2 linked regions of the Xenopus tropicalis genome follow. The protein of the gene in region 2 interacts with the protein of the main gene of each other region in a biochemical or structural test. Links are inferred from orthologs where the notes say so. Each region holds a gene or a part of one and is shown on either strand. Other genes may lie near its edges. The genes, in order: shh and ptch1.

What was found.
Region 1: the proteins of ptch1 (region 2) and shh are reported together in a solved structure, tested with the Homo sapiens proteins (5 studies listed by BioGRID and IntAct, with this or other methods). The link is inferred for Xenopus tropicalis from reciprocal best matches to the Homo sapiens genes PTCH1 and SHH.

Annotation. Positions count from the first base shown.
Region 1 is NC_030682.2:17,020,238-17,024,525, forward strand, and holds the start of shh (sonic hedgehog protein), read right to left. Parts: upstream 3,073-4,288; 5' UTR 2,795-3,072; coding exon 2,495-2,794; intron 1-2,494.
Region 2 is NC_030677.2:135,818,420-135,822,253, forward strand, and holds part of ptch1 (protein patched homolog 1), read right to left. Parts: intron 1,391-3,834; exon of another isoform or gene 1,383-1,390; intron 1,205-1,382; coding exon 1,105-1,204; intron 864-1,104; coding exon 612-863; intron 1-611.

The sequences.
Region 1 (4,288 bases), on a different chromosome or scaffold from region 2:
TAGAGGTCCATTTCTCCTGTCATATTCTCGTTTTATCTATACTCTATCTGTCTATTATCTATCTATCTATCTATCTATCTATCAATCAATTTATCTACCTATTTATTTATCATCTATCTATGTATCTATCTATCTATCTATCTATCATCTATCTATCTACTATCGTTCTAGCTATCCATCTATCTATCATCTATCTATCTCTAACTGTATGTCCGTCTATCATCTATGTAGATTAACTGTCTGGCAGTTTAATTACCTATACATGCATCATATTGTCAATCATGAATCAATCTCCAGTCTCTACAAACTATCAGTCAGTTATCTTTCTCTCTCTCTAATAAATGTCTTTCTTATTCATCATTTGTAGGTAATCTGTGTATCATTAATGTATTCCCATCACTCACTCTTTATCATCTATCTATATCTATCTATCTATCTATCTATCTATCTATCTATCATCTCCCATCCATGCCCTTTTTGTATGTTGTTCAGTTGTACTTCTATGATTTCTCTGTTTTTCTTATCTAGATATCCCCATAATGACCTCTCCCCCAGTTAGTAGATGTTTCTATAGTTCTGTACATAGCGCTACTCTATGGCTTGCAGGAACAGATCAATAGCCCAGCAGTAGCAGCAGGTGTAGGTAGTGGCCCATAGCCCACAGGTGGCAGAAGCCTTGGCGAGTGGCTAATCACAGAGGCTAAGCTTTCTCATACACGGAGCTGCATTGGCCATTAGCGCGGCTCAGGGGGCTACAGGCTGAAAGCCCAACCGGCCCGATCGATAGAAGCAAAGTGAGAGGCTGATGGGTCCGGGCAGATAAGGGATGAGCCTGAGTGGGACGGGAGGGAGCTGTACCCTGGGCTCATCGCCTCTCTCCGGGGCTCCCGGCTGCCCTCCGGTTGTACAGATATGTGTATATCGGTATGTAACTGCCTGACAGCTTTATACTGTATATACTGTATACCCTCATGTGTCTGTATCTGTATAGATCCGTGTGTACTACTGCCTGTATCTGCCATACACATCAGCCCAGCATGTATCGGTATATATATATATATATATATATATATATATATATATATATATATATGTGTATATTAGCGCATTTACTATTCTCAATATATGTATCCATCTCAGTCTCTTTATCGCTAGATCTATCATCTATCTATCTATCTATCTATCTATAATCTATCTATCTATCTATCTATCTATCTATCTATCATCTATCTATCATTTATCTATCTATCTATCATCTATCTATCTATCTATCTATCTATCTATCATCTATCTATCTATCTATCTATCTATCTATCTATCATCTATCTATCTATCTATCTATCTATCTATCTATCTATCTATATCTATCATCATCATCACCTATCTATCATATATCTTCTAGCTTTCTCTGTCTATCATGTAACTACAGCTAGTGCCTATATATCAGTAATGTTACATATGGCTGATAGTAAATACCAGGGTACATTTATTTCACTGTATCTATACCTAAGGAACACACTAACCCAAGGCTATAGACATCTGAGCTGATAGCCTTTCCATTCCTCCCAGGCATGGGTGTGTGGCCAGGACAAGGGTGAGGGGTTGTGCCAACAGAGCCCCTGGCAGGATTCAGGTGCCCCCTTAAGGGGTAACAGTCTCCCGGCAGTATAGAGCCAGGGGTATATCCAGATAGATCCTGTGCTAGAGGTTTCACGCCTGGCTGCCATACTGTATCTCCACACATCTGGGACATTGCAAGTGCAGGGAATCAGCCTGACCTATATATGTGCCCCCTCCCTCCCTGTCACTCAGCCGCACTCAGTCGCACAAACTCTGCAACTCTATCCAGCAGCTCCTGCTTCCAACCAACAGATCTCTCTCTATCAGCTGGAGATCCCATTTAATCAGCAATGATGTAATGTGCAGCAGCCCTTCCAGACAAAGGTACCGGTGGGCACCCATACATACCCTCACCCATTGCCCATTCTACTCACACCTTGCTGGAGATCAGTGTGGGTGCCACAAGGGGGATTTACACAAGGGACAGGGTGCAGGGGGGTCGATTGAGATTTAGCTGGTCATTTGTATGGGCTAAAGGCTGGGGACTGGCTAAACCAGGGGACCAAGGGACGTGTAAGCAAATGAATGAATGAAATATTTAGTGTGTGTATATATATATATATTTTCTTCTCTCGTTCTCTTTCTATATATATATAGCTTAGTCCTGATTCATGGGTCCTAATGTATTTTAAAGCCAATGGGGGCAGAAGAAATGGATCTGAGTTGAAACAGGTTGAATGAGGTGTAAGAATGGCAACTACAGTCATCAATATATGGTAACCACCTGAGAAGTAACTAGTGTATCTGCCATCCCCCGAATGTAAGAATGACAGTTACAGAGAAACCCATCATCAATGTATCTTTACCACCTGAGAGGTGTAGCCACCCCCCCCCCCATAGGTTTCCTACACGACCCCCCCACGTATGGCCGTACCTGAGTCATGAGTCGGTCTGCTCCGGTGTTCTCCTCGTCTTTAAAAATAATATCAGGGTTATAATTGGGGGTTAACTCTTTAAATCGATCCGAGTTCCTTGTAATCTTTCCTTCGTATCGACCACTGGCCCCCAGGGTCTTCTCAGCCACGTTGGGGATGAACTGCTTGTAGGCTAAAGGGGTGAGTTTTTTAGGGTGCCTCCTTTTGCCAATGCCTCTGCCAGGTCCACATGCCAGCCCAGGGGGGGCCACCAGAGTACAGATGAAGCCCAGCAGCAGAATTCGAGTCACAACCAGCATCTCGTCCGAGCGAAGCCAATTACATCAAAGGCTCGGAGGATGTGGAGCTGCAGCCTCCCTACTGGCTGGAGCACTGGGGTGTCCTTGTACCTCCCGGCTGGCCCCACTAGCCACCGATCCCTAGCAAGGCAGGTGTAGAAAGCCCAGTGTGCAGGTCCCCGCTAGCAGAACACATCGGGGTTTAGAGGCGACACAGCAATTAAAGCGCAAATGAGAAGCTGCGATTGCAATAAGCGCAAGCAGGGCTGCAGCCGCCTGTGAGAGGAGCCTCTGCCTTTAGAGCTATATTATAGCGAGCCCAGCCCGCCTCTGATTGGCTGGGGCCAGACAAGAGCTGTCTGGATTAACCCTTGAAAAGCTCATCAAGTGGCAAGGTTGGATTGTCTCATGGGTGAGGGCTGGGAGGGGGGGGGAGGCGTTACAGACTGAAACTTTTTTTTTTTTTTGGCAAAATGACAGAGTTGTCAGCAGCAGGGATAATAAAGGCTTCCACAGTGTCACTTACAGAATTATCTGTTTGCAGATCTATATCTCCTATGGAACCCCATGTATCCTACTGACAACTCTGTCTCTCTATCTCTGTGTATCTGTCTCTTTGCTCTTTCTTTCTCTTTGTTTCTACACACCTCTGCCACTGTTTTTGTACATACAAACACACAGACACACACACAGGCATATATACATATATACATGCACACACAGAATACCCCCTGAGCATATTCTACTAGACCTTGAATGCATGTACATAGACAAATACGTGTATAGAGAGAATAACTCAAATGGGTATTTCCTTAGATGTATCTACAGGTATATAAGTGCCTGATGGTGTATACTATATATACATATAGATATATGTAACATTACCAATATCTATCTATCATCTATCTATCTATCTATCTATCTATCTATCTATCTATCTATCTATCATCTATCTATCTATCTATCTATCAATCATCTATCTATCTATCATCTATCTATATATGATCTATCTATATCTATATATCCATCTGTCTATCTATCTATCTATCTATCTATCATCTATCATCTATCTATCTCTCTCTCTCTACATGATAGGATCGATGATGGATAGATAGATAATGGATAGATGGACAGACAGATAGATAGATGATAGATAGATAGATAGATAGATGATAGATAGATAGATAGATAGATAGATTGATGATAGATAGATAGATAGATAGATAGATAGATAGATAGATAGATGATAGACAGATAGATAGATTATAGATAGATGGTGGATAGATAGATAAATAGATAGACAGATAGATAGATAACAGAGTGATAAAGGACACAAAGTATATAATTTGCACATAGAACCACCGATAGGACATATATAGACACCCAAAAAGATAACACATAGAGATACAGAGATAGAAACAGAGAGATAACCAGAACTTCAGCTATTATGCAAACAGATGATAGAGAAACATCGAAGGATATAGGATTTTGCCAGATGATAGAAAGATAGATAGT
Region 2 (3,834 bases):
ATTATAAAACACAAGTTTAAGTGAGTCTGTGATGGGAATTACTAAGCACTGATCATAACAGATGATATCACTAAGCACCATTTATAAGGATAAAAATTACAAGATATTCATGGCTCTTGTGTATTATAATAAAAAAAATATATATTTTACAATACAAATGAATGAAGCCAATGGAAACTCTACTAAAAAATATTTTTTTGCATAATGCGAGACTTGTAAGCAACTTTTCAAAATACATTGGGGCTCATTTATCAACAATGGGCAAATTTGCCCATGGGCAGTAACTCATAGCAACCAATCAGTGATTAGCTTTTTTCAGCCAGCTGCAGGTAGAACAATGAATGCAACAATTTGATTGGTTGCCATAGGTTACTGCCCATGGGCAAATTTGTCCAGTGTTGATAAATTGATAAATGACCCCCATTGATTACAAATAATTTATAGTTTTCAGATTTTTAGTATACGTTTAAATTCTCTAACTACTACACAATGTAGCAGCAGTCAGCTATATATATATATATATATATATATATATATATATATATATATATATAGCTGACTGCTATTATACACACACACAAAGAGTGAGTAATACAGTTGGAGGCACATACAGTGGACCGTGGAAAGGCTGGATTTCTTCTGGCTTCCAGGAAGACTTGATTTGTTGATGCTCTGGAACACTGCTGGGAATCATACTGATGAAGCTCCTCACTGATTCCTGATACAGTTGTCTGAGAACTATATTCTGAATCTGAGGAATCAGACCCATTCTGCGTCGGTCTAGGATGCACAGGGAATCTTACAATATTTGGTGGTGGCTCTTGAGGAAACTCAAGTCTATCTCTGCCATTAGTTGGAGAGACCTACAAAAAAGTGTTACACATTTTATTTCAGCAGGACATATTTTACATTAATATCTATATAATATGCAAACTAAATTATGTTATATATTGGTTGTATGTGATGTCACCAAAGGTGCAAAGTGATGTCAACTGTGTCACATGGCTCATTTAAACTTTTGTATTATAAGAAATAACACAAGCTCATCTTAACCTGGACAACATTAAACTTGTACAATTATGGCATTATAGAGCTGTTACAAACCTCAGGATAAGGCCCAAAATAAGACAGAAGTACAGGAAGTAGCACCAAGCCGTTTAATACACCCAAAAGAGTTAAAATTGCCAGGACAGCAAAAAAGTACCTAGGAGAAAAAAAAATGTTGGTAAGTATCTTAGCTCAAACAGTTTCAGATATTAGATGAGATTGGTAGTGTGTAATACAAACAACTAAATTGACTTATAAAACATGCAAGAAAAAAAATACACAAAAATCACACATTAGCACAAAAGAACATATTTATAGAAACTTTTTATTTTTACCTTGAATGCTACTTTCCCAAATTCAAAGAGTAGTTAAAAAGAAAAGAAAAGGGTTATATTGTTAAACAATAAGAAAGTTTCAATAAATTGCAGCTATTCATTGAGGTGCAACACAAAGCAGAAAAAAAAAATATGGAATCTGAAGTGAATACGGGCAAAAGAATGAGAGCACAAATACAATACCAGCCCCTCCTCCACTCTCCCCATTAGTGAGAGCCCAGAAGATGGAAACAAATGAAGGAAAGGAGTAGAATTTAAACTATTTAGTCTACAAGGGGAAAAGGCCACTTCTCCAAGTGGTTAATCCACTGTGAAATGCTCATAAGACCTACTGCACAATTTCTAATTAAATCTCTTTTTTTTTTATCATTTTTATCATTATTAAATTCTGTTTCAGTCAAGCTCCTTATGCAATCAGTGTATTACACATTTACTATATTATTATACAGTTGTTTTTTTCAAGAAAGGAAATCAGGTTTTTGTGAAAGAAAAATGCTTTACATTCTGTGGTATGCCCCAGCGCGGTTCAGAGCAAAAGGTTCCACAATGGCTGAGCTGCATTGCAGGCTAATCTTTTGTTGATCAATTTAGCATCTCTGAATACTCTTGTTTTGAGTCAGCCAATTCAAACATAAAGACTGCAGTAATGGGTGGGGGGGATGCATAAATGGATGTGGTTTCCCACCACTAAGACTTACAGTCAAGGATTACTTAATAATACCAAAAAAGTCTCTTAACCAGCTTTAGTCCTTTACTCCTGCGCCTTCCAGCTGTTGCAAAGTACAAATGCCAGAATCCTGGATGGCTAAAAGTTACAACAGTTAGAGGGCCACAGATAGCTGCTTTACTCTACAGCAGTGTCCTACCACTGTTTCTAAGTAATTAAGCAATTATCCAGTATAGCACACATTTCTCAACTGGTTTATTTAAAAAAAAAAAAAAAGTTCTATATATATATATATATATCTATAGATCTCATTTGGGCAGTCTGGGGGCCATAAATATCCTTGGTTCACAGCAATGAACCCAAAGCCACCAGTTGGGCAGCCCTGCTCCAAAGGAGAGCTTTTACATTTTGTAGGTTTGCCATCAAATTTTAGGTAATGACACTGAGAACCAGCTTTTAGTCGCTAATAGATTTATAACAATGCATACTGTAAATCTCAAATTAAGTTTTTTTTTGTTTGTACAAATCCAGAACAGGGGTTAACGGGACCTTGGTACTAGTCAAAGTCTTGTTTTCCAATGTGTTTTTTTAAACATCACAACATACAAATATCCCTGGTTCTGTAAACATCTGAGAAAACTCCATTAGTACTATCAACAACCCAATGTCTTCCTTAAATCTAAACAAAGCAGAACTTGAGACTGAGATTTGTATCAACAACAGGCCTCAGAAACATTTGCATGTCATCCATCTTACACTTGAATAAACAATATGATTATATTGCTGTCTACTTTGCATATACAATGCCTCTTAATTTACTCTGTTCTTAGTGGAGTTGATTGCTGAGCTAATCTTTCTAAATGTCCAAAAGCTCTGGAACACTGGTAATCCCCTGGAACAAGGGAACAACTTTTCATCAATCTACATCCACCCTGGAAAAAACAAAGACGAAGGAGGCCAGATTTGACATCAGTTCTAAAAAATAAATGATCCACCTACATTTGTTAAAGGAAAACTATACTGCTGAACAATGTAGGTCTCTATAAAAATATATTGCATAAAACATCTCATATATTAAACCCTGCTTCATCTAAATAACCCATTTAATAAAAATGTGCTTTTTTTAATGTTAAGTATGTTCTATTGGGTACTCCTTACATTTTAAGTACTTAGGGCCACCCCCTGGGCTCATACGATTCACGGTGTGCACCAACAAACCAAGAGCACACATACATGTTACATGGACAACGTTTTTTACTATAACACTTCTACCTGTTATAGTTAAAGCAGCATTATTTCCTGTCAGGTAGATGAAAATGGTGGCTCAAGGTAAAAGATGTAAAAGGGCAATATTTACAGATTAAATTATACAAGAATAACCGTTACAAATGAAATATTTACAATACTATTTTTCCATGTGAGAAATGTTTTAAAACAAATTTGTTATATTTAGTAAACTATTTATTTTGAAACTGAATTTATACATACACACTATACAGTAGGAATAGCAAAGATTCCGAAGATAGTGTTTTCTCCAAGCACTTCTGAAACTTTACTATGTCCAACAACACTAGATAATTAAGGTTCAAGTGTAGCTTGAAACAAAAACTTGTTCTCTGTATATCCATGTGGCTAGACCAATGTAAAACCATTACTTTTTAAACTCTGCCTAGCGTGACAGATAGCCAGATCCTCCAATCTACTATGCTCAATATTTCTCTTATTTTTATACACTGTTATTGTTACCCTTCCTCCACCAACCTTGGTTTGCCTTCCAGGCTTATT